2 separate regions of the Mus musculus genome follow, and region 1 is reported to be linked to region 2. Evidence: microRNA targets listed by miRTarBase, many of them from high-throughput screens and not tested one by one. Region 2 holds a microRNA gene; the other region holds the end of a gene's coding sequence.
What was found. The annotated mature microRNA mmu-miR-23b-3p reads AUCACAUUGCCAGGGAUUACC and lies in region 2 at 3,075-3,095, opposite strand. An mRNA with a match to its seed (bases 2 to 7 or 8) in the 3' UTR can be bound and repressed. Matches are read on the target gene's strand: a 7mer-m8 pairs with bases 2 to 8, a 7mer-A1 pairs with bases 2 to 7 and ends in A, and an 8mer does both.

Region 1 (14,057 bases), not on the chromosome of region 2:
ATGTCTGGCTCAGAGAGTAAATTATAAAATACTTTAGCAAGTTTGGGAGGACAACTCAAGCTTACCCTAGGGGTCTCACCTAGCGCAGATGTGAACCCGGCTTCTGTAAGGGGGTTTCTCCTAGACAGACATTTTCAGAAACTATTTTCTGTTTTTCAGATCTTAGCTTGAGTAAATACATCCCGAGAATTGCTGAAGACATGACAATCCAGGAAGCTAAAAAATTTGCTCGAGAAAATAACATCAAGGAGGGCAAGATAGATGAGATCATGCATGACAGCATCCAAGACACAGCTGAGCAGAAAGTCCAGCTGCTCCTGTGCTGGTACCAATCTCATGGGAAGAGTGATGCATATCAAGATTTAATCAAGGGTCTCAAAAAAGCCGAATGTCGCAGAACCTTAGATAAATTTCAGGACATGGTCCAGAAGGACCTTGGAAAATCAACCCCAGACACTGGAAATGAAAATGAAGGACAATGTCTGGAGTGAAAACTACCTCAGTTCCAGCCATGAAGAGAGGAGAGAGCCTGCCACCCATGATGGAAACAAAATGAATGCCAACTGTATTGACATTGGCAACTCCTGGTGTGTTCTCTTTGCCAGCAAATGGTAGTTGATACTCAGTGAGGGTCAAATGACTAGCAGGTTCCAGGGACTGCTTCTGTTATTCTCTGCAGTTGCTGAGATGAACCATTTTCTCTGTCTACTGCAATTTTTACATTCAAATGTCCATGAAATTTGTATTAAATGTGAAGTGGAATCTGCAGTGTTTGTGTTTATATTCATATACTATGAACTGAGGAGAATTATAAACTGAAACAAATACTCGCAGTTAATTGAAGACCTTCCATTGATGGACAGTTCTTTTCCTCTCTATGTGGAAATGTATAATAGAAGAAATAATTTTTAAATTAAAGTATCTCTTTTTGCATTTCTATTGCTCTGTTGTCTTGCTTGTTATTCCATTTTTCTTTACTCTAGATGACGACTTAAATGCTACCTGTGCAATGAATGAATCTTTAAAGCTTGAGTTGACCTCTTAGGAGGAAATTCCTTTCCAAAGCCTTTTAATAATTAAATGGTTCATTCTATGGCTGTTACTGTCAAGAATACTTTAGCTTGGCAGATGTCTGATATTCTTGAGGAATCTGATGACCGTGGTCTCAAAAGTGCATTTAAGCAGAAAGATTGCACAGCTTGGGGGATTTGCCTATAGTTTTCTCTGAGGTATGACAGTTTTCTCTGAGGTATGTCCTGTCCAGCTTTCTAGTTGGACAGAGCAGAAGGACAAACCCAGTAGAGTTCAGATATGAAACTCCCACGTTTTAAGGTGAGATTAAGCATAAGAACATCCTGTGCCTTCTTTAATGAGTTTGAACTTGAACCAAGAACTCTGAGTCCCTTTGAAAAGGCTTTGTATTGGAGGATGTGAGTCTCTTCCCCTTGGCTTCACCCAGAGGCTCCGGGAATGACCACTCCCACATCAATAACCATGGCTGTGTTCTGGACTTAAAGTGACCTTTTGCTCCAAAGTTACCTTGCTTCAGTGATTGAATCTTTTTTTTTGTGGTACACATCATGAGAAGGAATACTTATGTCACGTATGGGCTGCAGGAAAAAGGACTATGTACAAAAGGAGGTCAGGGACCCCCATGGGCCTTGCATACTTAAACTTCTAAGCATTCTTCATTAGTAACCACAGAGTCCTCTGGTATTTGACCAGGCCCTATGCAGTACTACATTGTTAGTTTCCATATAGTGATCTCGATATGGCATACAGCACAACATTATTTGCAATTATTTCCCGTGCTCTCATCTGAATGGAAGTTTTCCTGCTTGGATTTTATACCAGGGGCTGGAAGATAACTCAGTAGTAGACCACCTTCTTAGCACCCTTAAGGTTCTTGAATCAATCCTTACTACCCAGGTAAATAAGTAGATAGATAGATAGATAGATAGATAGATAGATAGATAGATGGATAGGCAGGCAGACAGATAATTAGGAACGGAAAGGGGAAGTCTACATAATGCACAGTATTTGTAGTTTCTCCCTAGCTTTTAGAACATCAGTCCACTGTATTCTTGTGTTCATTGTTAATGATATGCCCACTTCTGGTCTAAATATTCCTTTCTAGGCAACTCCTCTCTTTTCCTCTAATAGACTCTGAAGGTTCCTTTACCACACTTTCTTGGTGTTCAGCAATTTAACTTAAAAGAGTTCCAATGTGGATTTATTAATCTCTTTCTCCTCCCCCATTTCCCCTCCCTCTTCTCCCCTTTCTGCTGCTTCTTTCCCTATCCTTCATTATCCCTGTTTTCTTGAGATCTTCCTCTGTGGTCTAGGCTGGCCTGAAATTTGTAGTAATCCTCCTGCTTCACCCTCCTAATTGTTGAGATTATAGTAAACTTAGTTTTAACTCATTTGCTAAGCAGTATGACTTTTATTTTATTTTTTATTTATTTATTTTTATTTATTTATTTATTTGAGATAGGGCTTCTCTGTATAGCCCTGGCTGCCCTGGAACTCACTTTGTAGACCAGACTGGCCTCGAACTCAGAAATTCACCTGCCTCTGCCTCCCAAGTGCTGGGATTAAAGGCATGCTCCACCACTGCCCAGCTATATTTACCTTTATCCCTTGAGATTATAATTATACCATCTCGCCTTCCCTTTCCTCTCTCTAACACCTTCATTTCCCTCTTTCAAACTCATGTCCTTATTTTTCTTTAATGATGCTACATGTGTATATGTTTATGTATATGTATACGTATATGTATATATGAGTGTACACGCACACACACGCACACACACGCATGCATATACCATGTCCTTGCTGTTCTGAAGACTTGGATCTTTTCTCTTTGAATAACTCCTGTATGAGTCCCTCAATTCTTTCCTCCCAGAGTAGAGCATCACCTCCTGTAGCTTTTTGAACTTCTCTCTGCTCTGATTGTTTGAAATTATAGTTTTATATGAAGATCGTATGTAGGGAGATGTTTCATTACTCTCCTCAAATTAACCATTCCCATTTTTTATCGTTTTGTCCACTGTTCGTGACATTTCTAATTATCTGTGAATGCTCACTTATACATATGTTTCTGCTTCCTATTCATGGATATTTTAAGGTTACGTGGAAAGCTGTGTCTATCAGTCTCTTTTCTTGTTGTAAACAAATATCTGGCAAGAAGCAACCAAAGGAAGAAGGCTTGCCTTGTGCTTTGAATGTTCAGTCAGTCTATCATGACAAGGAGGCCAGGGCTGGGGGACCATGGCAACTGGTCAAGCTGTGTCTGTAGCAGGAAGGAGAGACCTTGGAGGGCTGGTGCTCCACCAGCCTTCTTCATTTCCATTTTATTCACACTCGGATCCTGGTTCATGGGATGGGATGGTGTGCAGACTCTCAGTGTGGGTCTTCCCTCTTCTATTAAGCCTATCTGGAGCATACCCACAGGCCTACCTAGAGGTGGGTCTCTTAGGTGATTTTAAATCCAGCCAAGGCTACAGTCACAATCTTATTCCATCATCCTACTTTAAGGAGTCTACAGCTCTTCATGAGTCCTTCCTAAAAATACTTTTAAAATTAAATTTTACTTGTGATCTCATGCTGCCAATCATAAACTCACTGTCCTCACATGGCTCCCAAGAACTTATGCATGTGCACTGTATACACATTTGTGTGCACATGTATATGTCTATGTGCACGTACTGAGATGCCATAGAATAAGAGGTATCCTGATTTAGCATCCTCCACCTTATTCTGTTGAGACAGACTCTTACTGAGCCTGGACCTAGACTGGCAGCCAGTCCACCATCTCTGCCTACTTCCCATTACCAAGCTTACAGATACATATGTGCCATAACTGCCTTTTACAGGAGTTCTAGGAATTTGTACTAAGGTTACCTGTTGAGCCACATCACTAGCCATACTCATGTGACCTTCTTGGTGTATTTTTGAATTTGAATTGTAGATCTGAATGACAAGTCTTGTATTTATGTGTACTAACTTCATGCATAGAAGATTTATTATTTATTATTTATTATTTATTTACCAACTCCTCCAGAGACTCCTGTTCTGAGCCAGGATTTCTTAGTATGTTGGGACTTATATCTTTCAATAATTTCCGGGTTCAAATAGATTTGTGCACCAGAAGAAGGAAGTTTGGCTCCCATATTGGTCCAACTTTCTTATGCCATGCGGTGTTTAGATGGAACTTAGTTTAAGCTGTCCTTTGGCACCAACTCTGATAGTTTGTTAGCAAAGGGATTTGACTAAGGCTTTAACTCTGTCATACCTCTGGCTTGTCTTTCTGTTTCCAGTGATCTGAGAATAGATCACACAGACAGAAATTTGTGTGAGGTCATGTGTCACACTTATAAGCTAGCATACATTTTTCTTTTCTTTTTTTTTTAATTAGATATTTTCTTTATTTTCATTTCAAATGCTATCCTGAAGTTCCCTATACCCTCCCCCCACCCTGCTTCCCTACCCACCCACTCTCATTTCTTGACCCTGGTGTTCCCCTGTACTGGGGCATATAAAGTTTGCAAGACCAAGGGGTCTCTCTTCCCAGTGATGGTCGACTAGGCCATCTTCTGCTACATATGCAGCTAGAGACACGAGCTCTGGGGGTACTGGTTATTTCATATTGTTGTTCCACCTATAGGGTTGCAGACCCCTTCAGCTCCTTGGGTGCTTTCTCTAGCTTCTCCATTGGGGACTTTGTGTTCCATCCTATAGATGACTGTTAGCATCCACTTCTGTGTTTGCCAGGTACTTGCATAGCCTCATATGAGACAGCTATATCGGGGTATCTTCAGCAAAATCTTACTGGCATATGCAATAGTGTCAGGGTTTGGTGGCTGATTATGGGATGGATCCCCAGGTTGGGTAGTCTCTGGATAGTCCATCTTTTTGTCTTAGCTCCAAACTTTGTCTCTGTAACTCCTTTCATGGGTATTTTGTTCCCTATTCTAAGGGGGAATAAATATCCACACGTTGGTCTTCCCTCTTCTTGATTTTCTTATGTTTTGCAAATTGTATCTTGGGTATTCTAAGTTTCTGAGCTAAAATCCATTTATCAGTGAGTGCATATCTAATGACTTCTTTTGTGTTTGAGTTTCCTCACTAAGGATGATATCCTCCAGATCCATCCATTTGTCCAAGAATTTCATAAATTCATTGTTTTTAATAGCTGAGTAGTACTCCATTGTGTAAATGTATCACGTTTTCTGTATCCTTTCCTCTGTTCAGGGACATCTGGGTTCTTTCCAGATTCTGGCTATCATAAATAAGGCTAGCATACATTTTCATTGGTTTAAATGCTTACTTAGACCTCTTAGCAGTTCAGTGCTTGGATGAATACCTTGGTTCTAGGCAGAAAGAAGATAATAAACTGTAGTGAGCTGATTTGCTGTATTATATAAAGTGCTGATCCTATGAAGTAGTTCTGTTGGGGTATGACAAACCCCTTCCAGATACCCTCCAGTGGAAGGCTCCAAAGATGGAAACATACTGACGGAGGTTGTGCTGTCACCTGAAACACCTTGGAGATCTGTGATGTAGATGTTATGTATATTTATAAGCTTTTGGGACAGAAGGGTTTTCCTTCAGATATAGTCAACTTTGTATTTTAAAGTAGAAACTGGGATGGGGCGAGGGCAGGTAGCTCAGAGCGTAAAGCATTTGGTGCGTGTGCTTTCCAGCCTGAATTTGCATCCCCAGCCCTAAAAGAAACCAGTCACTGTAATGGTGGCACATCCTTGTAACCCCATTGTTGGAAAGCAGAGACAGGTAATGCCAGAAGCTCCTGACCAGCTAGTCTACCAGAACCGTGGGAGTAAGATGTGTTCTCAAACCAAAGCGGTGGAAAGCGATAGAGGGGGACATCCTAAGTAAGAATGGCTACATGTGCATGTGCACCTGCGAATGTGCACGCATCACAGACACGATAATTAAATATGTTAGAAGGGAAGATGTTAGTTAACCAAGTGACTGCAAGGAGACATGCTGATTGTGTGTGTGTGTGTGTGTGTGTGTGTGTGTGTGTGTGTGTGTGTGTGTGTGAATATGATGTATATGATGTATTCAGCTTTTATATCACCTGTTTACTTTCTAGTCAGAAAGACAAGATCTTCATTCTAGACACTTCACCATCAGTAAAATAACGGTCAATCTCTAACTTTGTTTCTAATATAATACTGCTTTAGGGGGAAGATTTTTTAGTGAGAGGAGACACGTCCTTGATACTTTGAGCTTCATTAGAAGATGCCTCCAGTTACAGGGTAGAAGGATCTACCTGAGCCACAAGTCCAGAATCATACAAGTGGACAAAATGGTCCTACACCCCAGTAAATAAAGTGAGAAAAAATATGAATCACTTGACTGTTGGTTACTATCACATGACTTAATTACCTTGTTTTTGATGAGTAAATCCATGAAATGTAGGATAAAAATGTCTCAGCTCCAGATATATCCATTTGCCTAAGAATTTCATAAATTCATTGTTTTTAATAGCTGAATAGTACTCCATTATGTAAATGTACCACATTTTCTGTATCAATTTCTCTGTTGAGGGACATCTGGGTTCTTACCAGCTTCTGGCTATTATAAATAGGGCTGCTATGAACATAGTGGAGCATGTGTCCTGAGTGAGGTAACCCAATCACAAAAAAAGTCACTTGATATGCACTCACTGATAAGTGGATATTAGCCCAGAAACCTAGAATACCCAAGATACAATTTGCAAAACACAAGAAAATCAAGAAGAAGGAAGATCAATGCATGGATACTTCATTCCTCTCTAGAATAGGGAATAAAATACCCATGGAAGGAGTTACAGAGACAAAGTTTGGATCTAAGACAAAAGAATGGACCATCCAGAGAATGCCCTACCCAGGGGTCCATCCCATAATCAGCCACCAAATGCAGGCAATAGTGCATATGCCAGCAAGATTTTGCTGAAAGGACCCTGAGATAGCTATCTCGAGTGATGCTATGCCGGTGCCTGGCAAATACAGAAGTGGATGCTCACAGTCATCTATAGCATGGAACACAGGGCTCCCAATGGAGGAGCTAGAGAAAGTACCCAAGGAGCTGAAGGGGTCTGCAACCCTATAGGTGGAACAACAATATGAACTAACCAGTACCCCCAGAGCTCTTGTCGCTAGCTGCATATATAGCAGAAGATGGCCTAGTTGGCCATCATTGGGAAGAGAGGTTCCTTGGTCTTGCAAACTTTATATGCTCCAGTACAGGGGAATGCCAGGGCCAAGAAGTGGGAGTGAGTGGGTAGGGGAGCAGGGAGGGGGAGGGTATAGGGTACTTTTGGGATGGCATTTGAAATGTAAATGAAGAAAATATCTAATAAAAATTTTTAAAAATATGTCTTAATATATCCTGAATGTGCTATGGTAAATGATTTCTTTACATTTATTTTAAAAGCCATGCATTACTAGTCCTTTATTCCTAAAAGACAGATAAAAATGGAAATCCCTGTGTTTGTTTTCCCTCTTACTAAATGTAAAAAAAAAAAAAAAAAAAAAAAAAAAAAAAGGTCTCAGCTATAAAATAAAAGGCCCAAGGATCTGTCAATAAAATATAACAGTGGGCTCCAAACAAATGGGAAGGAAAGCGGGGCTGTGGTTCCACACGGCCACAAGATGGCACTGTTTCTCCAGCACTGACTCAGGTCCTGGTTGAAAGTTTCTCCAAAGTATGTCACAGTTTAATTCTCATATTCAACTTGCCAACAAAAGAGCAAAACAAAGCAGATATTACAAGAGTTTTATCTAAAATAAGGCAATGTCTGATTCTAAGTCAACCCCTTTTTATGGCCTAGCTGTATAATTTTAGATTTAACATCTTGGATGTTCTTTATCCATATCTGTAAATTAAAGTCACAGTCCATCAGTTGTTCCTATAACTGTAATGCACAGGAATGAGACACCCATGAGAGGATGTGATAAACTGTAATAGAGTATGACATTGGTTCTTAAGATTAACGTTCATAGAAACCACCTGAGGATGTTTGGAAATGTGTCCTGCAGATGATGTGGCTTTGGGAAGGGGGGGGGAAGCACTTGTCTCATACCCATGAGTCCCTGGGTTTCATGAACAGCACTCTAAAATTCATATCCCCAGGTCCAGACATGCTTCAGAAGGTTTGAGACTGGAAATATTCATGTGCTGCATAATTAATCAGCAATTATGAAAATGTGCAAAGTCTCGGGTCACAGCCTGAAAGGCTTCAGTATGCCAACACCCATGGAAAGAAATATTTCCAACTTAGAGATTAATTCACTATTTAACTAAAAGTTGAACAAGCACTCCACCATTTTTAGACTAACTAAAGGTACGTGTATATTATATTATAATACAAATATATCAAGTGTAAGTGCCCATTCTCTTAAGTTAATAGAATGGACTTGAGAAGGAAGTGTTTGCTGGGTGACAGTCAGATAACAGGACCAGGTGCAGAACATCTGGAAGTCAGCTGATAGACAGGTATGCTCATGTTGTAGGACCCAGACAGAGTTGATGGAGTCCCCCTGTGCTCTGCCTTGTGACCCCTATACACTCTTATTTGTCTATAAACAAGTGACTTGGTGTCTTCTATTAAAGACTGAAGCAAGCTCTACTGTACTGAAAGAGAGTGAGAAAATTTAGCAACAAAGTTCCATGAACCTCTTAGAATTCTTTGTCACACAACTGCCAAGGTTTGTTGGCTAAAGCCAATGGAACTTTTTCTAATCTCTTCTCTTCCTTCTCCGTCTGCAAGGGGTCTCAGTCTGGTTCCCAGAAAACATGGTGGGAAAGATTGAAGGTCTAGCTCTAGGCCAGAGGCCAGTGTGTTATCCTCAGAACCTGGGTGTGCATGCTCAAATCCCATCTTAGGTATCAAGAGTGCACAACAACAAAGTCTTTACAAATTGCAGCAAAACCGGCTTCATTTGGAAATATATTCAATACTCATCAATAAAGAGAGACAGCAGTTTATGTTGAACCACTAGGACTCTTGATCTTTCTACAACTATCTATCAAATAGTTCTTACTTTTTACAGCTAGGCACTATTCTAGGATAACATGCTAATAACATGCTAATAACATACAAAAAGACCACCAATCTGGAGCTGGATCTCTCATAACAGGACGGACAAGAATTTGTGTAATGATTGTGCAGAATACTATGTTATGAGATTATAAATGCTCCGATCCGTTTATCAGGACAGGGAGAATTGAGGCAAAGGTAGGGAGAGAGAGAAAAAAAAAGCAAGGTGTGTTACTACTATATAGAGTGGTCAGGAGAGGCCTCAGTGAGATGGAGCAAAGATTTGCAGCAGGGTGGCCTAAATCTGAGGGAGGACTGGAACAAACGCCAGGACAAGCCAAACACGCGTGAGGGTCTGCAACGGGGTCAGTATGGCTGCAGTGTACAAAAGGAGAAGCATGACAAAGAGAGGTGACAGTGTCCAGATGCCTGGAGCTGGTCTTGTTGAGGGACAAAGACCTTGCCAATGCATCTTCCTATTTCCACAGCTAATGCAAAGATAAATTGCATGGACCAGATACTTCTATTGTGTAGCTTTATTATTTAAACAAAATTTCTGGGGCTGGGGGAAATACAACAAAGTTGCGGGTCTTCAGGAAATGAACGTTCCTTTGGAAATGAGAGGTTATGAGACATGGTTCCCGATGAGATTTAGGACCTAAGGGTGGATTGGAGGGTGTGCAGAGAGTGCTGCTTGAATCAGCAGGACTCTGAAGAAGCTGTTGAGAGAGTCCCACTGCAGCACTTTCTCCAGTTCTGCTGAATTCTGGTCCAGGGCATACTCTGCCCTGGTGCTTCTCCATCCTCTCCCATGGCCTAGCACTTGACTGACGGACACATCACACCTTACTCATTCCTTCAGGAGAAAGGGCTTTCTCAAGAACTTGGAAATCGGAAAGTCCCTTTCTTCCCTTTTGTTTTTAATCTAGGCAAAAGTCACATAACATAAAAACCAACCATCATAAAGTATACAATTCAGTGGTATTTAGTATTTCACAACATTGTGCAACTTTTTTTTTTTACTTCCATCTGGTTCCAAAAGCTTTTATTGCTTCGAAGGAAAGCTAGTGTGTACTAAGCATTTACACACACACTCCCACACCCCCGCTGTCCCCTAGCCCCAACGCCCCATCCGCAATCATCAGTAAGAAGATTTCTGTCTTTAGGTTTAGCTATTCTGAGGATGTCAAAACATAATCATGCTTTGCACAGCCTTATATGTGGTGCATCTTTCAAGAGAGACCATTTCTTAGCAGTAAAAATGCTCAAGTGAAGACTGCAGAGTTTAGTTGCTCCACAGTCGTGCAATGGCATCTAGTTCTATCGTGTACTAGCTGAGTCAAAGAGGTCAGATCTCTTCAACTTTACAAAGTGACATGCTAGAAATAAAATGCTCCTTATGCAACTCAAATGCATGTATGTATACATGTCAAGTCCAAGTATGTCACATGTGTGTGTGTTGTGTGGCGTGGTGTGTGTGTGTGTGTGTCTGTGTCTGTGTGTGTGTGTGTGTGTGTGTGTGTGTGTGTGTGTGTGTGTAGGGGTGTAATAAGAGCCCTTCTGCCTCCCAAGGTGTCTAATTATGCTTGGACAATTAAGAAAAATGTGTGACATTGGAGATGGCACAGATACATCATCTCAAAGCTGCCGTAACTTGCTTTTTGCCCTGTCAAAACCACCACAGGCTAGAATGAGGCAGTTCACTGTGCTTGTATTCCCAGGGCGTTATTAATGGAGAGTGCAGATGTGGTCTTGTTCTTCAGTTTATGGTATAACACAAGCAAAAATGAAAACAAAACAAAAAAAAAAACTCTTTTCATTGCTAAGTAGCCTCTCTGGTACATCACATCCATGGGTCCCTCGGTATTGGGAATTCAGAGACAGCAATCTGGGACATATGACATAAGTGGAAGGCCATCTGTGGGCTTTTGTGACGATCTTGTTTCTCTGAATGTTTTCAGGACCCACCTAACTGTATCGTATCAATACTTCTTTTCTTTTACTGGGCAAATACTATCCCACTGGTAGCAGAGGCTGGCATGAGGATGGGAGGTCTGTCTCCTTGGTAACAAATGAATGAAGACTTAGAAGAGGTAATGGTGACAGCATTCTAGATAGATCTGGTGCAGGCTGCAGGATCTGTTGAACTATGTATTTTAATCAGGTGTAATGAAGACGTTTCCCAGCTTCCTGTTTTCATTTCTTCTCTTACCCAGGAATGGTCACTCAACTTGAGTTAAGCTTTATTTATTTATTTATTTATTTATTTATTTATTATTTATTTATTTAGTCTCCACATCTCAACTTCAAACTTAGGCTTATTGAGTCATGAGTGGGTTCTCTCCATGACCTCATTAATGCTCTGCAGCCAAACTAAAATGCAGAACGAGAGAACAAAACTGGGTAGTCGTTTTTGGTTTTAATGTGTTTCTAACAGCCCTGTCAACTCCCTCACCTGATTTTGTGTCATCCTTCCAAACACATTTCTCAACTCTAAGCCATGAGCAACAACAATGGACTCTTGTAGTGAAATGCACATGTGTATCTATGTACATGTGGACCGGCCATGAAAAAGACAAAGGCTGACAGCAAATCAAGTATTGCTCCCAGGCCATTCCTCATTATCTGGCAGGTGAGTGTATTTTACATAATTTTTAAAAATTTTAATCTTTCATTTAGTTTTGTGATTACTTCCATCTTCATTTCATTATAAAAGTAACTTACTTATCAAACGTCCTGATAGCAGCTCCAATATTCAATCAAAATAAATGCTTCAGAGAAAGTACAGTTTTATCTTACTGATTTTCATAATCTCTGTGGCTATAAATTTGATTTCAGTTGTGTTAAGATGCCTTCCTTGATTTTGTAGCTAATGTGTAAGTACTAGATGTGGAGTTTCCTGTGCTGGTTTGAATGAGATTGGTCCCAATAGGCTCTTTTGTCTTAGTTTTGGTCTCCAGTTGATAGAGTTGTTTGACTTAGAGGGTGTGGCCCTGTTAAAGGAGTTATACCATGGGGATGGATTTTGAGGTTTCCAGAGCCTACCCCATTCCCAGTTAGCCTGTTTCTTTCTGCCTCATTGTTGTCATCTCCACATGGAAGCTCTCAACTACTGTTCCATGCCATCACTTCCTATTTTCCTGATTCCACCATGACAGTCATGAACCTTGTTTCTAAAAATCTAGACCCAATAAATTCTCTTTTCTCAAAAAAAAAGATGTCTTCCTTGAACTTCCCTTCCTTCCTTGAACATCTTCCTCATGTGATTTTTGTCTAAGTGGAAGCAGGCAATACCAAGAAGTGGCCAGAAATTACATACTAAGAGAAAAAGAACTATATAATATATACATACATATACATGGGTATATATTTCATATATATGGTGTGTGTATGTGTGCTTATGTATATATGTATGTGTATATATATACATACATATATATATATATATACATATATATATATATACACACACACACAAGTATATATTTTGTGTGCATGTAGTTGTTTATGTGTGTGTGTCTACATAGTTCTTAGAAGGAGAAAGGGAACATAAAGATGCATAAGTCAAGTATTATGGTAAATGTGTGGATTCACAAAGAGGAGAGTATTTTTATATAGCCCAAATTGTTCTTTACAGGAAATAATCTGATACTCTGTGATGACTGACTTCGGAGACTTAAAGGATGCTCGGCAGATGGATGCTAAGCACCTTGTGAATCAGCCACTAGGATTCAAGGCAGACTCAGAGCACTCTCTTCAGAAGGGACAAAACCTTTGAAGAAACAGATAACAATTGTAGTGGTATGTAAATTGAAATCAAGTAATCACTGAAATTTATTTCTCAAATGAGGTCTTCTCTTTGAAGATTTTTATTCATTCATTTAACCAATCCACAGACTCCTTTCTATTCTTAGAAACTCGATGTCTATTCAGTCCAGCTAGAGAAGGTAATGGCTGAAAAGATTGATCCAGTCTTTCTTGGTAAACCAGAGAAGGTTAATCACAACGAGAAGAAATCCCCTGTGCAGCTTCCTGGCAACTCTGACACAGAAAGCCTTCTCCTCCAGTGACTGTTTACTGCTCCTGTCCCCCAGGAGAAAAGGGACATCTTGAGCCTCACTGCATCCTCCACCTGGAGATGTTAAGAGGCTCAATCTTTTGAGGACCTAGGCTATGTGGACCACAGTTGCTCTGATGAAGACAATAATCATGTATACCAGAAGGGAAACAGCCACTTGCCACCATCCATCAGTCTCTCAACAGATACTGGCTACCACATACATTTTGCACAAACAACAGGAATAAAGTTGATAACTTTTTACTCTCTCTGTACTTAGCCTGAGTATGTTGGTTGTTCATTGTTGTCTAATGAGATTCTCCTTAAACTTAGCAACTTGAAATAACAAATGTGTTTGTTCTCTTACACAATGAGGGTCCAGGGCCTCAGAGCTACTTAAGGAGACAGTGGTCTCCCCTGGCTTGTATTCTAGATATGGGTCAGTGTTACAAACCTGTGTGGAAGCTCGTGTGTATGTGTGTGTGTGTGTAAAAGCTTCAGTTACTCAGATTAGTGAAAATTTTCAGATCCGTTCTCTATGGGAATTTCCGCTGGGCTTCCTGAATGCCTGCACAGCATGGCAGATAGCTTTCCTCAGATTGAGTAATCCAAGGGAAAAGGGGAAGTAATGGAGTCACAATTTATAGCCTTTTTGCAACCTTGCTATGTGGAATTACATTATTCCTTTGCCAAGTTCAACTGAGCATACAAGGACCTTGGTACAATGTGTCAAGAAAGTCATGAGAGGATGAATATTAATAGACAGGAATCGCTGATGAACCTCAGTGGGACCTGAACTCAGTGATATATTAACAAACAGTATTGCCAAATAAATGACCAGATGAGAGAATGAAAGTCTATGCTGTTTGCTACAGGACAGAAATTCCATGCTGATTTGCAGTTGTATCATTAGGTACCATAATGGGACTATATCCTGAAATGTTCTTTGGG
Region 2 (15,344 bases):
GAGCCTGGGTGATGATCCACATCCTTCCTCCGCCAACAGTTCACTCATCACCTGAACCATATGCTATAGAGCAAACTCCTCCCTGGGTGAGACAGCTCAGAGGAGGAGGTCAAGCCTCCCTAGACATCCATTCTTCCGCCCTCAGACCCTGCTTCGCATCCTATTTGACAAGTTAACGTTTGCAATGTTCTGTGTCCTGTGAAGTCAGGTGGCTCACGGAAGAATGGAGACTGCACTTTCTTGACTCCAGAGGTCTCAGCCAGATGAGGGAAGCCTGCTTCCACAGCCTCATGGGCCTCTGGTGCAGCTATGGGTGGCAGGAGCTGCTGCCTAACTTGTTGGGGTGGGGGACTAGAGGAGAGGGGAGGATAGGCTTGCTCTGCACCCAGCCAGAGGTGGCAAAGGACAGCTCTACCACAGATCCTTCACCAAAGCTGTGAAATGGGCATCTGGTTCCAGTGAGATCTCCACTTACCTGAAACCCATTGGCAAGAACCCAAGCCAGACACAGCCAGGCACAGGGCTCAGTGACCCATGGGGACAAGGGACTTGATCCCTGAACAAAACCCACCTTAGGCGACAGCTTTGTTTTGCTTTAGTGGTTCCTAAGAACAAAGAACAAAACCAGACTAAACCAGTGCTTGGCTGCTCTCTCCAGTTCAGAGGAGGTATGGGCCACTGAGGTTCTCAGAGGGGCCTTACAGGGTGTGTGGTTCTTAGTCCACCTCTAAGCAAGGCCAGAGTGCTTCTGAGAGCAGGAAGGCATAGACTCAGCCATTTATTTCAAGTCTTCACAGAAATCAGGGTAACATTAAGTAGAATTAACACACTTTGATACTTGTACCATTGTGGTATACAAAGCAGATAACCATTTGCAAGTCCCCTGCAACCATCCAAATGCAGTCACTGCTACAGCCCAGGCTCTGAAAACCAATGGTTCTGTGCGGACGCTCCTCTCAGTCTGTCCTAGAGCCTTTGTCACCCAGCAGGTCTGGGTGCAGAAGCCTGGCCAGCCAGTGGGATGCTCCTTCTGGTTCCTCTGTCCACCGCTCTGCCTTGGCTGGGCTCATGTGACTGCACTGATGGCTCAGTCTCAAGCACCGTTCTCTAGACAGTGACTGAAAGAGCTTAGAGCTTGTTCTGAGACTCCGCTAGTACCAGGCTGGCTGAAACTCCACATTTGGAAGAGAGCAGAGTCCCAAGCCACACTAATTTCCCTTTACTTCCAACCTTTTTAGAATTAACATTACCTGGAGGTAGGAAGTGTGTGGAAAGTGCCTGTTCTGACACACGTTCTTCTTTGCTTTTAAGGAGCATCAAATTCAGAAGCAAACTGGAACACTAGCAAATCTGGTACTTTATTAAGACATTTTAGGCTTTCCTGCATTTTCAAAAACAGGAATGCTCTGTTGACTGAACACATCAAAAGGGCTTTGCAGAATCCTTGGGGACCAGCCACAGGAGGTGTCACATGATTCTGCAGTCTCAGAGCATGGCAGCTAGTTTTTGCAATCACAGGAAGCAGGCAACCGGCTCTCCATCTGCCTAGGGGAGGGTGTCCTTCATTGAATGACTGCCTTAAAGTCACAGCTCAATTCCAGTGTGTAGACTCAGTCTCTCTAGGACTGGGAACAAAGGCAGCTGCCAGGTGCAACAGTTTATGAGGCTCCGCCTTTTATATATGCCACGGGAGCCCAGTCTCTGGAAGCCCAAGATGGACCAACCACTGCTGTGGGCTGATGGCCTTAGCAGCCACATAATCCTCCCTTTGATGTCCAGGGTCAGTGCAGTCCTGGCCCCACCAGGGCTAGGAGAAGGTATATGAGAATCTCACTGTGATCTGTCCTGTGGAGGAAACAGCAATAAAATTTATTACCCAGTCACCACAGCCATTCCAACAGGAGTCCTCCCAGCCTCTGACCTCCACTTGAGAGGGAACTTTTCATGGGAGGACAGGGGCAACACTGAAGCCACACCTCACAATCCTGGGTCTGGGGTGCACAGTCACGGCACAGGCCATGCAGGGCTGTGAAGCCCAGAGAGGTTCAGAAAGGCTCTACAGACAAGGCCCTTCAGACAGGCATTCTCACTGCTCAAGGCAGCGGTGACATGGTGTGCTCTGCCCCAACACGTGGCAAATGCTCAGCGCCTGCCCTACCTGCTTCTAGGGAATGCAAACTTTCCAAGGTTAGCTCTGCACTCTACAAATCCCCACCTCGGGAGCACATACAGAGGGATACCACTGCTGTTGGGTCTGGTACCAGACACTCAGGCCCTTCATCTTCTTCTCCGTGGGAGGCCTGCCTCAGGCACTTACAGATGGGTAGGCTTTTTGCTCAAGGGCTCGACTCCTGTTCCTGCTGAACTGAGCCAGTGTGTGAAATGAGAACTGATATCAGCTCAGTAGGCACCGGAGGGCGGGTCCAATCACAGCTGGGCAGTGCCTCCTGGCGTGCCCTGGGCATCATCTTGCCAGCGACTGTGGAGACATGGAGACCTGGACTGCAAATACAAGAAAGAGTTCACCACGCCCAGCAGGGACAAAGAACCACACCCCCACCCATCACGTGTGGCATCAGCTGAGACAAGGTTGGCTCAGTTTCCTTGATGCACCTGGGTTTAGTTTTCTGTGACTCCCAATACACTTGACATTACAGTGAACTAATTAGCAGTAGAACTGTATTTTCTGTAGACACACTTAAGGGTGGTCAGCACGCTGTTTGCACTCTTGACAACACAGCCTTGAGGCAGGCTGGTCTCTCCTCCTCTGGAGTGACCACCAGGCAGTGGCCTCTGCCTGGCAGCTGCAAGTTAACTGTCCCCATCTCACCTTCTCTTCAGGTGCAGAACTTAGCCACTGTGAACAAAGCGGAAACCAATCACTGTTCACCAATCAGCTAAGCTCTGCACCTTGTTAGAGAGGTCATCGCCGGCCATAATTAAAGGGCTGGTGAGCATCTTCGAAGGCTGTTGGCTTCTTTTGTTTCCAAAGAGCCACAAGGCGCCTCTGTTCTCCAAACTGCAGAGAGAAAGTAGCCACGGTTCTGCAGGAGCAGCCAAGGTCATGGTTGCGTGGTAATCCCTGGCAATGTGATTTTAATCTCAAGTCACAAATCAGCATGCCAGGAACCCAAGCAGCCAGAGCAGGTGAGGGCAGCACCATGCCCAACCACTCCCATCCACATGTGCTGAGTGTCCTCCAAACCGCCTCTGAGCCCACCACGCTAGCAGTGCAGCCTGCTGTCCTTCAGCGCGCTGGCTGCACTGTATAGAGGAGCATAGGGGACTGGGAGACAAAGGACACACTTATCAGCTATGAGACCAATACCTTAGGGACCATCCTTGCTCTGAGTATGTGGCCTTTAACCCTGGGACACACCCTGTTCTCCAATTGCAGACTGAATGGGTTGGGATGTCTCTGGGCCCCTCAGACAGCAGGTGTGGTGTGTAGGGAGGGAGCATCTCTCTGGCTTGCCTGTGACCAAGCATTTGGTTGGATAAGCTGAGGCATAGCACAGAGCTCATAGGGGACCTAGCAAGTTGAGGATTTGCTCACTCAGGGGGCAAAAATACTCTTAGAAGAGTCACTAGGACCACTATGTGACTATGGCTTTCCTAAGTGAAGGCCTAGGGACCTAAAAAGGGAACAGTGGCTTTACTGTGTGACCTTCACACACCACATACCAACAATCCCTCAGCTTACAAGTTTCTAGAGAAATGTCTGCAGGAGGCAGTGAAGAGGCGCCCCGACCGACTCTGTCTATCCACACAGGCCACCGTCCTAGCTTGTAGTGTGCAGGCTTAGCAGGCTGTACCTGCTTACTCCAGCCCACTATCTCCCCTGCTTGACTGTGGCGGTCCCCAGCTCTTCTGCAACAACATGGTCATACATAGTAACATGTTTTCCCTTCATCAGTGTAGTTCTTCAGAAAAATAAACATTACACAGAAGTGGGTTTTATAAAAGTGAAATGTGAAAATGTAAATTTAATGTCTGACAATGGGTTAAGATTAGCAACACAATTCTAAATATTCATTAATTGGTAATCATAGAGAACAACAGAGTAACACAGTGATTGATGTAAAATTTCAAACATATACAAAAGTAAACATCATATGTACCACCATGGCAAGCGATAATGTCCTGGGATGATGTAGAGATGATGACTGGCGACTATGAAAGAGACGCACTAGCCCACACCTGTCTCAGAACTCCACGCCCTGTGGCTGAACTGCATTACTGGTCCACAAGCTGGCTACAGAGGAGGCAAGTTACACCACAGCCAAGGACTCTGGGAGCCAGCGTAAATCCTGTTCCAGCACGAGATGGAAACAGACTTGCCTTTAGGACGCAAGTGTCACTTGGATGGAGGGGCAGAGAAGACCTGCTGCCTACTCTACAGGTCAGAGAACCAGAGGCCAAGGAGTCTCAGGTTTACACAGCCTCTAGGAGAGATGCCTGCATGCTGAAGCCTGGAGCAATGAGGCCATGGACCGCTGTGTTGACCTTGACCCTGGAGCCTGTGGACCTGTGCAAAATCCAGGGTGGCTAAAGCAGTGCCAGATCTGTTGCTCCTTCAGCTGTACCTGCTTCACACCCATGCTTCCAGCAGGTGAGGTGCTCCAGAGATCCTGAGCCTTCTTCCTGTTCCTGAGGACCCACCTTGCTGCTTCCTCCCCAAGACCGTTTGGCAGCCCTCTGGTGCTGTGGCTCATCATGTGGCTTACCAATTGACATGGATGGTTAGAAGAAAGAAAAGAGAATTACCTCTTTAGAACAGCATTTCAGTCACCACCTGGGCCGATGCTCTGTCCATGTGTTCCTTCACCAGCTCAAAGCACCTGTGGGCTAGCTGCTGCAGCCTGGCGTCCTCACTCACCATCAGCTCCCCATACAGGTATATGCCCATGGCCTGCAGACCGTGAAGGCCAGAGAAGAATGGGAAAGGGGTAAGAGGCTGCACATGTTTATGGGGACTTGTTTGTATTGCTTTACACAAGCTGGTCTAAAAGCACAAAGGACAGAGAGAGAGCCTGCTGCCGTGCAGGTGACCAACTGAAGCTTGCACCTTCTACTCTGTCTCCATTGTCCTTATCAACACTCTATGGAAGCTGAACATGGTAGCACAGGCCTTTAATCTCAGCACTGGGAGGAAGAATAGGACGATCTTTGTGAATTCAAGGCCAGCCTGGTCTACATAGCAAGTTCTAAGCCACACAGAGTCACACAATGACACCTTGTCTCAAAAAACAACAGAAATACAGAATTCTATTGATTCTGTCAACCGACTCCGGTGCCCGAGTAGCAAGCTATCCCAAGATGGCTATTGTCAGGAATACACTGGGCAGAGGCAGAGAGCTCTCAAAATGGTCACCATGGAAAACCTTGTCTGTCAGGCCAGTGCATCCTAAAGGGTAGCTGGCATGAGCTTGCTTACAAAGTCCATCACCTAACAGGCCACAGAGACCACATGGCCAGCAGTGCAGGCAGGGCAGATGCTGTCACTTTGGCCTAACCCAGCCACCAAATGTCAGACTCTTGGCTCTTCTGCTTTGAAAACAATGCTACAAAGGCTTGAATTCTCACTGAGCCAACATTAAAAAAGCAGCCAATTACATTCTGCAAGTTCTGCCCGCTTTCTTGTTCTATGGAGTTTCTCAAGGGTTACATTCTGCTTCAAATTCAAGTGTTTCAAAGGCAGCATAGGATAAAAACTCAGTGTCGGCTTCCAAAGAGCTTTCCTGCAGGGGCTGAGGCGTGGAGGTCCCTGTACAGCAGACAGCATGGCTATGCCAGTGAGCTGCTCTTAGCTCTGTTCCTGTCTGCTTTCTCAAACAATTCTTACTCCACTGTGCAAATGTGACATTTCTGCTGTAAAAAAGTCACATCCTTTGCTTTATGGGAAAAACCAGCCCTCACTTTGACTCTGTCAAAAGTCCTTTTGTCCACCACACCCCCACTTTCCATCCCATTCAAAGTGGCTCTAGCCCATCAGCCCACAGTATGCACACAGGCTAGCCAGAGGCGCCAGTTGGGGTTGGGAGTGGGACAGAGTATGGGGGAGGTCATGTGGAAACATGTCATGAGGTACAAAACATCAGAGGAGGTACCCTGAAGGATGACCCCAAAATGTGTCACAAACCAGAGAGGTGGCACATGAGGTTACACACACATACATGTACGTACACAAACACACAAACACACACACACACACACACACACACAGAGCCTGAAATTTGAGGCAGGAGACTGCTTCCTAGGACATTCTTAAAAGGAGAGAATACACAGGCTAGGCAGGGCCTGGCATGGGTATGACATGGTGTGAATTCCCAACAGGTGACCCAAGGGTTTCCCATGTGATTCACACATGTGCTGTGCTGTGCTTGCAATCAGAGCCTTACAAGCTGGATGGACCCATGGTGTTGCTAAGCAATGGCCTTGGACTGAGAGTTCTAGGGTAAGCCTCACCTAATGCCACATTCCGTCCACAGCCAGGACAGAGGACGGGGTTCTGTGAGGACACTGAGGGCATCAGCTCACAGCTGCCAGTGATCTTCAGATGCTAACTAGCCCTTCAAAGTTTTTGAAACTCCTTCAGATAATTTGTTCTGACAGGGATGTGGAGAACTTGGGACTGGGAATGGTGGCCAGTTTCTATCTCTTGGAAGATCACACTCACCTGGTCCTCCAGTAGGAACCTCTCCACCTGATTGTATGCCTTTGTGTACTTGTGCTTAATAACCAGTTCACACCATCGATGGCGAACCTGGGAAACAAGACAGGAAACCTGGTAAGCAATGCTCCTCTGCCAGGAGAGTGTGGGGATAAAGGGCGACTGTACTGCAATTTCACCAAAGCACGGGGCACTTGTGTAGGAAGTGTGGCTGAACGAGCGGTTGCATTTCATTTCTTCCTAAAATCGAGGACTGGAACTCCCAAGTACAAGGACTGTCAGCCAACAGTAGTAGAAAACACACAGAGCTTCGGGAAGCAGCTTCCCTGTGCCACGAGCAACAGGGATGGGGGTCGGGCCTGTACTCGGCCTGTTTGGCTCCGTTTCGCCAGGTTTAACAATTAAAATGCAGTATGTAGGAAGCTGCCAACTCCGAGCTCACACCAAGCCGGGGTGGGTCCCTACCTCTGCTCAGATTCATGGAGAGGCTCCAGCAGGCTGCTCTTGAGCTTGCAGCTCCTGCTGAGAGTCCGCTCGCATGTGCCACGTGCACCTAGTAGAAAGACCATGCTCTTTTCAAAGACAGTTCTAAAGGTTTGCCTGCAGGAACTTGCCAGGGTCCTCTTGCCCTACCTCTTACAGGCACCCACTGCCTATGAGACAGTGGTCAAGCCACCAGGCACAAGAGCCTTGCAGGGCCACCTCTCTGTGTCGAGGCATTAAAAAACAAAAAGAGGTATTTATTTTATGTATGGGAGTTCACTGTTGCTGTCTTCAGACACACCAGAAGAGGGCATCAGATCCCATTACAGATGGTTATGAGCCACCATGTGGTTGCTGGGAATTGAACTCAGGACCTCTGGAAGAGCAGTCAGTGCTCCTAACCACTGAATCATCTCTCCAGCCCTCACATTCATTTTTTTTTTTAAACCAGGTGCTTCTGCCTGTTTGCTTCTCAGAGTACAATGCCACACCTGTTGCCAGCAAGCTGTCTGAACTCTACCCAGCAAGCAGCCAGCCAATCAGTGGATGCTACATCACTGCTTTAGTATCAGCCAGTAAAATTTAAAGTCTCCTCATGTTACCCTTGTTTTTATTGCCTTTGATCCATTTTGCAGTCAGGAATAAATGGTGACATTTTGGCTAGGCCCCCTGCAAACCACATTACTATACAAGACTTCTAGAATTTATCAAGAGCCCCTAGGAAACCATAAGGAATTAGCTCTCCTGTGCTCACCAGATAGAACCAGTGGGCAGCACCAGGATGATGGGCATCTGGTCCCAGGGGCGGGGGTGGGGGGGTAGTCTGTCCCTTTCCCTTTCTTCCTAATTCCAGGTCTTTCAATGGCCTAGCCACACCCAAAAGCTGGCAACAGAACCTTTTGTTTGTGAGCTCTGGGGCTAGCCAGGAGACCCTGGTATGACAGTCCCCCAGGGTCTACTGCTCTGCCACCTGCTCAGTCAGGCCAGAGAAAGAACCTCCCTTTTCTCAACTACAAAACAGCAGATACCTAAACCCACTTTTAATAATGGCACACCTAAGAGAGTATTCTGAGGACCTTTCATGTAGGACCTGGCTGAACTACACAAATACATATACCCACCTTTAATAATGGCACACATACAAGAGCTGTGTCGGACCTGGCTGAAACTGTTTCGCTGCTATGACTTTTGTCATTCTAAAAGTGCAAATTACATTTCATATTTTATTTTGAGAGTAAAGGGCTTTAGAAAGCTACAGGATTAAGGGTTGGGGTGAAACAGTGAGACTAACTACTCTTTGGGTAAGAGATTTATTCAGTTATTAATGCCACAGACGGAGAGCAGCATGGTCGGGCTCTGAGGACAGATCAGGCAGAGAGTTCTTCAGAGGAAGGACGGCTTTCACACCATCGATTGCTGGGCAGTCCACAGTACATGTATGTAGTCAGGGCGTCCCTAATTCCAGTGGACAGAAGAAAGGCAGGGAGTCTGTTAGCCTGGGGCCTAGGATCAGCTACGAGGGCAGGGGAAACAAGAAGCCAGACAAAGAGGACTTCCCCAAGTAGCTCCCCTACATCCAGGACAGGGTCTCACGGAGCCCGAGCTGACCTTGAATTTGGTGCACAGCCAAGGATGATCTTGAACTTTTGCACTTCCTGCCTCCACTTTCCAGGTGGCAGCATTACAAGTGTGCAGAGCCATGTCCGGCTATGCAGCAGTTTCTCAAGCCCAGGGCTTTATGCATGCACTTTATGCTAGGCAAGCACTTCTACCCACTGAGCTACAGCTCTCGTCCCTCATTTTCTTTTCTATGCTTTCCTCTTATTTACACACAGAGAAGAAACAGAGCATGCTCCAGGATCCATTTGTGAGTAGCAAAAGGCCCCAGCGGGTGGGGGCAGGAGGCTCCAGCAGCCCTGCTGGGATATGTGAAGGTTCAGGAGGCCATGTCACAGAGGCTCTTTCACAACATGAAGTCAGCGTTTCCACTCCTCTTACAGTTAGAAACGCTTTATTGTCGTGACTAATGAGAGAGCCGATCTTCTGACCCCTGAAGGCTAGCTAACATGGCATCCAGGAAGGACAGACAGTCTCCCCCACCCCACAGAGAGCAGGACAAAACAGCCTTTTCATCAGAAAGGGCTGCATGTATTCCAGTATTCCAAAGACAGGATGTTTAAACGACACCACAGAAATGCTGCACCCCAGTCTCCACTCACGCAAGCACTTTTAGTTTTCTTTTTAGTTCTCAGGGCAACAAAGATTATCTTAGTTTTCTCTCCCAAACTCGCAAGCACCCACAACCCATCTCCTCATAGAACAAGGTTAACACCTGCTTCCCCAGTGCAAGCGCCACCAGTGGACGGCTGGGTTGCCTTCCTCCAGGTCAGACTTTGGTGCCTTTCAGAGGCGACACCTTGACTCAAGTTCCCACCTAGACTGACACTGCAGGGACTCAATACTCCACAAGCTGAGCCTCAACACTCAGAGGGATGGTCCCTGTAACAGTAAAGGCGAAAGACAACTACAGCACCATATAACCCAGGTGTGTGCTGTCTCCTGCTCTGCTCAATTGGATGCTGCGGCATTCCCAGACCAAGCAGCAGGCACCTCTGCATTCCGAGAGACACTGTTAAAGGCCCTTCAGTGATTCAAATTGCTATCTTTGCATTTCACACATCTTGAGCTACTCCCACTGCTGGGGCTATGGGCCTCTGACAAGTGAGGACAGCTTGCAGGTATAGCAGGGCTATGGGAAACTGAATGGACAGAAGACACTGTCACACCAACTAGCTCTAAAGGAGCTGAAAGCTGTTTCTAGAAGAGCTGCCAGCCAACAGGGACATAGAACTGGAGCCCCAGGGCTCCTTGTGAGGGCAGCATCCATCTTAGAAGGTGGAACCTCTCTCTCTCAGTCTGGTTAGTTAGCAAACCTTTACCTTCTTATTGGATCACTGGCTCCCTACAAATCCCACCTCCATTTGTCTGAGGAATGTTTTGTGTGTCAGGAAGATTAGCTCTTGATTAAACTGCAAGTGTTTTCAGCAGAGTCATCTTGACTGCGGCCATGGTGATTTTGCTTGCATTTCTGAATGGTTCTAGTTGAATTTATTGATTATTCTTCCTACGGTTTTTCAACTCTGTTCTTTTAGTTTTAGCATTTGTGTTTATGTGTGTGTTCCATATGATCTAGCTGCACTTTCCTTGGGTTCTCTTAGACATAGTTTTGCTATTTAGCTCAGGTTGATCAGAATTTTCAGTGTAGCTCAAGGCTGCCTCCCAAGTTCTGGAATTATAGGTGTGACCCGCCACACTTGGAAAACTACACTTTAGTAGAGTTGAAATTTAATGATTTAAAGAGCAACTAAAATTCAGGTCATCTCAAGCTTTTGCTAGGAATCCCCATCAAGTCTGGAGTTAGCAAATGCTTAGTGTGAAATAGCACCCAGATGGTCAGGCCAGGCCAATGGCAGAGGCCAAGGGAAGGGTGGAAGCCTGCGTAGGTAGGCAGGGAAAGGCCAACTCAGAGTCTTTCCTGGAGATGAAGTTGAGTGAGTGGCTCCGGACTCTGTAGTGTCTGTGCTCTGGCTGGACACATGACTACCAAGAACCTGCTCTCTCTTTTCTTACAGAGAGCAGACAGTCCTTAGCGGGGCAAGCCTACAGCCCTGGTGGCCCCTCACTGCCCCAGGCTGAAGGACAGGTGCCTGTGGACATGGCCTAGCTCACCAATGGCAGGAGAGAGAAGCTGGGTTACCAGAGACTTCCTAGGTGCCGTAAGTTGATTCTTTTTTTTTTTTTTTTTTGGTTTTTCGAGACAGGGTTTCTCTGTGTAGCCCTGGCTGTCCTGGAACTCACTCTGTAGACCAGGCTGGCCTCGAACTCAGAAATCTGCCTACCTCTGCCTCCTGAGTGCTGGGATTAAAGGCATGCGCCACCAAGCCCGGCTGTAAGTTGATTCTTTGTGATACATAGGTGTGTAACAAAAAGTTGCATATGGTGCATGCCTCTAATTCCTATAGTCATGAGGCAGAGGCAAGCACATCTCTTCAAGTTTGAGGCTAGTTTAGTCTACATAGAATATTTCAGGCCACCCAGGACTACATAGTAAGACTCCACCTCACACACACACACACACACATACACAAACACACTCCGAAAAACCTTAGAAAAACTATTTTCCAGGATGCTCTGTTTAGAATGTGGGTTTTTACACAGAGGTGCCGCTTATCCCACCAGAAATGGACTCCAGAACTCTGCAGTCCTTCAGGGCCTGCACCAATACAGGGACCTCTGTGAGCAGTGCTCCTTGTGCTCGATTGGTTGGGAACAGATGAGAGGAAGGGCACATGGAGGATAGGCCTGCAGGAGCTTTCATGTCAGAACTGCATCTGAGGCCAGACAACTAAACCTGCCAGGTAATTCACATTACAGCGCTGAGTCTTACAGTGGGACTGCCACCAGGATGTGCTGTGGCAATAGGTCTGAGTCCTGGGACCATAGTCAGCCAGACAAACATGGGCTATGGCTTATCCACTCCCAAAACTGTAGGGTCAGCTAGCTCCATAGGCTTGGGGGAAGGAAGAGCCAGAGGGGTTCCACCAGGCACACATACACACATAGCTTATGCCAGAACATGTACAAACGTGTACACACAAATAAGTTCTTTTTTTCAACATTTTCCCATATGCAATATATGCAACACACTGAGTTTTTATTATTGTTTTAATGCTAGTAGTTAACAATAGTAAATAAATGTTGTGTCCTGCTATTTTGTGGAAAACTGACCAAATGGCCCGAAGAGTGTGGCCTTCCTAGAAGGTGGAGGGCCATGCCCAAGAGACTATATAGATACTTCAGGAGACTCCACATAGTAAATCTTCTGTCGTTTTCTCATCTACTACAAAAGTTGACTATTGAATCTGTGAGACTTTGGAGATAGGTAACACCTGGGAATGTGTGCCCAGATGACAGGGCAGGACTTAACGAGGTGACCTTCTCAACCCAGGTGATGGCTGTGAGCAAGAAGGGATCCAGGAGAGAGAAGGCACTGGTGGGGACCACACAGCTTAAGACCAACTAGCCTTGGCCATCGAGTCCTGGTTGCAGAAGAGAATATGGGGCCTGGATGACCGCTGGAGGAAGAGACAAGACCTTGGGGTGCTCACACCACCTCTGGGAAGTACATCCAGGCGCACAATTCTGGGAATTTTCAAGACCATTTGTACAGAGGACTCACTTGGACTCATACCAACCCCAGCTATGTGGCAATTCTGTCCCATGTACAAGGTTACTGTGAACCAGAAGTTCCCTCGGAGCTGAAAGGCTCTTCACTTGTTAACACCACAGAGGTACCCTGCTCTTCTGGTGTCTACAGTCTTAAAGCATTGCCACTTAGAAAGCCACTTCTATTCCTGAACTGTGCCTCAAATTCCGGGCTACGAACCTGACCACCATCAGAGATCTCTTCTGGAAACAGTTGATACCTAGCCTAGCTCTCCTCCCAACCAGGGGACAACAGTGTCAGCATCCCTCTACTCTGACCATAGGCCCTGACACAGCCTTTCTGTTCAAGGCCAGATGCAGGGTACCACTGGTCCTCTGCCCTTTTGGTTTTGCCCCTGAAGAACAGGGCAGACACAGCTCATTACTTAAACCACTGTTTACAGAACAGACTATGTGGTGTACTGACCTAGATCATACATTGCTATCCAAGTATTTCCTCCCCAAACCTACCATGTCAACGGACATCCAGGTGGGAACCCCTGAAACCTTAGGATGGACCCAGCATGACATGCAGAGTAGCCCTGAGTGCTGGTCCCAACCCCCCAAGTCCTATTGCTGTCTCTGCAGTTCCAATTCCAGGCTCAGCATTCATTCTGAGGATTATTAAAGGGGAGATCCTGCATCTCACTGGTCTGTGGGAACAGTACAGGGGCTGATCCAGTGCTGCGGTGGCCAGGCATGGAGGGTGATGCCAGCGCAGAGAGAATGAGTGCAGCCAGCAAGAGCAAAAGGTTCCTGGCTGTAGGCGTGTGGGTCTGCCCTGCTTTATGCTCCTACCACAGACCCAAAGTCATGGGGCTAACCACCCAGGGGCTGGAACCATAGCCTGAGCCAAAAGCAACCTGTTCTCTTTACAAGGTGATTGATTATCTGAGCCATTTGCTGGACTAACAGCTGCCTAGCATACACATACCAGTGTTTTACATGAAGTTGCCTTTCAAGGAGTCAGCCATTGACACCCCTCCCCCTCCCAGTGCTATGGCTGTAGCTCAGTGGTTAGTGCCTACTTGGTAAGATCAAGGAGGACCCCAGCCTCCCCCGAGCCTGCTTACTACTGCATGTTGACTCATTCTTTGTGTTTTTCAAACTTCCATATATAACTATTAGAAAAACCTGGGACCTCAGTGTTTACAGACAGATACAGCAACTTAAATCCTCATGTCACGTTTGTAACAGTTAGAATCCTTTAGCTTTGTTGCAGAACCAGGGTTGAGGCAGGCCAACAGGTGGACCAAGCTGGCTGCTGTGTTGCTAGGTGGCAATGCTGCAGGGTTCTGTGGCGAGCTGGTGAAAGCAAGACATTAGGCCACTGATCCCACTGGCCTGCCTCCAAGCGCAGTGTCTGCCTGCAGCAGGCTTCTGAATGGACAACGCTGCTGCAAACGGAGAATGCTTTCAAGGACTTTGAAATTATAATGCACAGTTGGAAGCTATAAAATGCTTTGAAGAATACCACCCATCCTATTTATGACAGGAAGCCCCTTTCTTTCTCAGTCCTTTTGATTTTGAAATTTACTGCTAAAGGAAAAAAAAAATCTGTACAGGGAACATGATCTGGGAAGCCCATTAAACCTCATTTGGAGTTTCATTTTATATCTGTAAACAGAAAGACGAAGGCTCGAGGCTCTTATAAGTTAATAAGTCTACACTGCAATAAACAACCCTGCTTTTTCAATTTGTGTGCTTAAATTAGATTTTCTTGCTTTAAAGAGGGTTCACTGGTGGTGAGAGGCACAGCTATTGCAGGACTACAGGCTGATGGCACTGCCAGCAAAGAGCTGTCAGCTATGGTGCACGAGCCACACAGAACCACACAGAACTTTCAGCATCTGGTTTACTCTACTGCTCCCCCTCTCCTCTCCCTCACTGCTCGCTGTTCCCAGAGGACTGGAACTCCGAGATTGTTCTTCTAATAAAGGGAATTAGACCTTACTTCAGTTGCTGCTGTACAGACATGTTAGTAAATTCCTAGGCCAGGGTTAGGAGTGACTCGTGGAGACTGGGAAGATAGCTGAAGGAGTAAAGTTCTTGCCTTGCAAATATGAGGAACAGTGAGCCTGTAATGCCAGCAACTACAAAGACAGAGCAGAGCTTACTTGGCTAGCCAGCCTAGCCTAACAGGTGAGAGACCCTGTCTTACAAAACAAAATGGAAGACTCCTGAGGATCAACACCTGAGGCTGACCCAAGCCCATCACAAGAAGACACACACAGACATGAAAGAGGGACATGTGTCTGTCGCTCTGTCTGTGGTGCCACACTGTGTGATGATGTTTCAGCTGCTGCCCCTACCACACTAGCATGCAAAAAGAGTGTACAGCGAAGGCCCAGGGTGGTGGCAGACATCTGCCACAAAGTGAGCAGGACGCTCACCTCACCTGGGTTCTAAGCACTCCTGCGATCTAGGCAGAGCGTCAGCTCCCCGCAACCCCCACATAGAGCTTCATCTGAGGATGGTAATACCATTAAAGGCTTAGTGCCAGTCAAGAGAACTGAAGCAGACAAGGGCTAGACAGTTACGGCTTTCTCTTCCAAGACTCGACACTCAGCAGTGATACCTTTCAAACTGGTTCTGAAGTCAGGAGGTAAGGGCACCACTCAGGTCTCTGCTGAAAAGGGGACTTTTGCTGCTAGTAGAAACAGTGACCCGGCCGGGACAGCTCTGCCTCCCATGGATGGCAGCAGTGTAGCCACAGAGTAGATGACAGCAGTAAGACATGGAAAGACAAGGAAAGCCTCTGCTCTGAGCCGCTGACCAGCATGCTTCCAGTTCCTATACACTTCCTTGGCCCACAATTCCCTTAAAAAAAAAATCTCTGAAGAAAACAGGCCAGAACACTGTTTCTGTGAGTTGCCAGGTGGAAGATCAAGATGTGTTCAGGGAGTTTCTCTGTGACATGTAT

Region 1: the mRNA of Fas is a reported target of mmu-miR-23b-3p. Seed matches in the 3' UTR shown: 8mer at 749-756.

What each region holds. Positions count from the first base shown.
Region 1 is chr19:34,326,834-34,340,890 of GRCm38, forward strand. Fas (Fas (TNF receptor superfamily member 6)) reads left to right here. Exons shown (of 9, transcript NM_007987.2): 9 at 160-937. The coding sequence ends at 491. Among named protein-coding and RNA genes, the nearest start is that of Fas, 43 kb to the left of the region's middle.
Region 2 is chr13:63,288,280-63,303,623 of GRCm38, reverse strand. It overlaps Mir23b (microRNA 23b), which reads right to left and starts at 3,140; the gene lies at 3,067-3,140. Aopep (aminopeptidase O) reads right to left here. Exons shown (of 16, transcript NM_001289926.1): 15 at 6,680-6,766; 16 at 747-4,912. The coding sequence ends at 4,772. It overlaps Gm16907 (predicted gene, 16907), which reads left to right and starts at 6,477. Exons shown (of 3, transcript NR_045794.1): 1 at 6,477-6,790; 2 at 10,789-10,932; 3 at 12,165-14,470. It overlaps Mir27b (microRNA 27b), which reads right to left and starts at 2,912; the gene lies at 2,840-2,912. It also overlaps Mir3074-1, Mir24-1 and a transcript of Fancc not described here.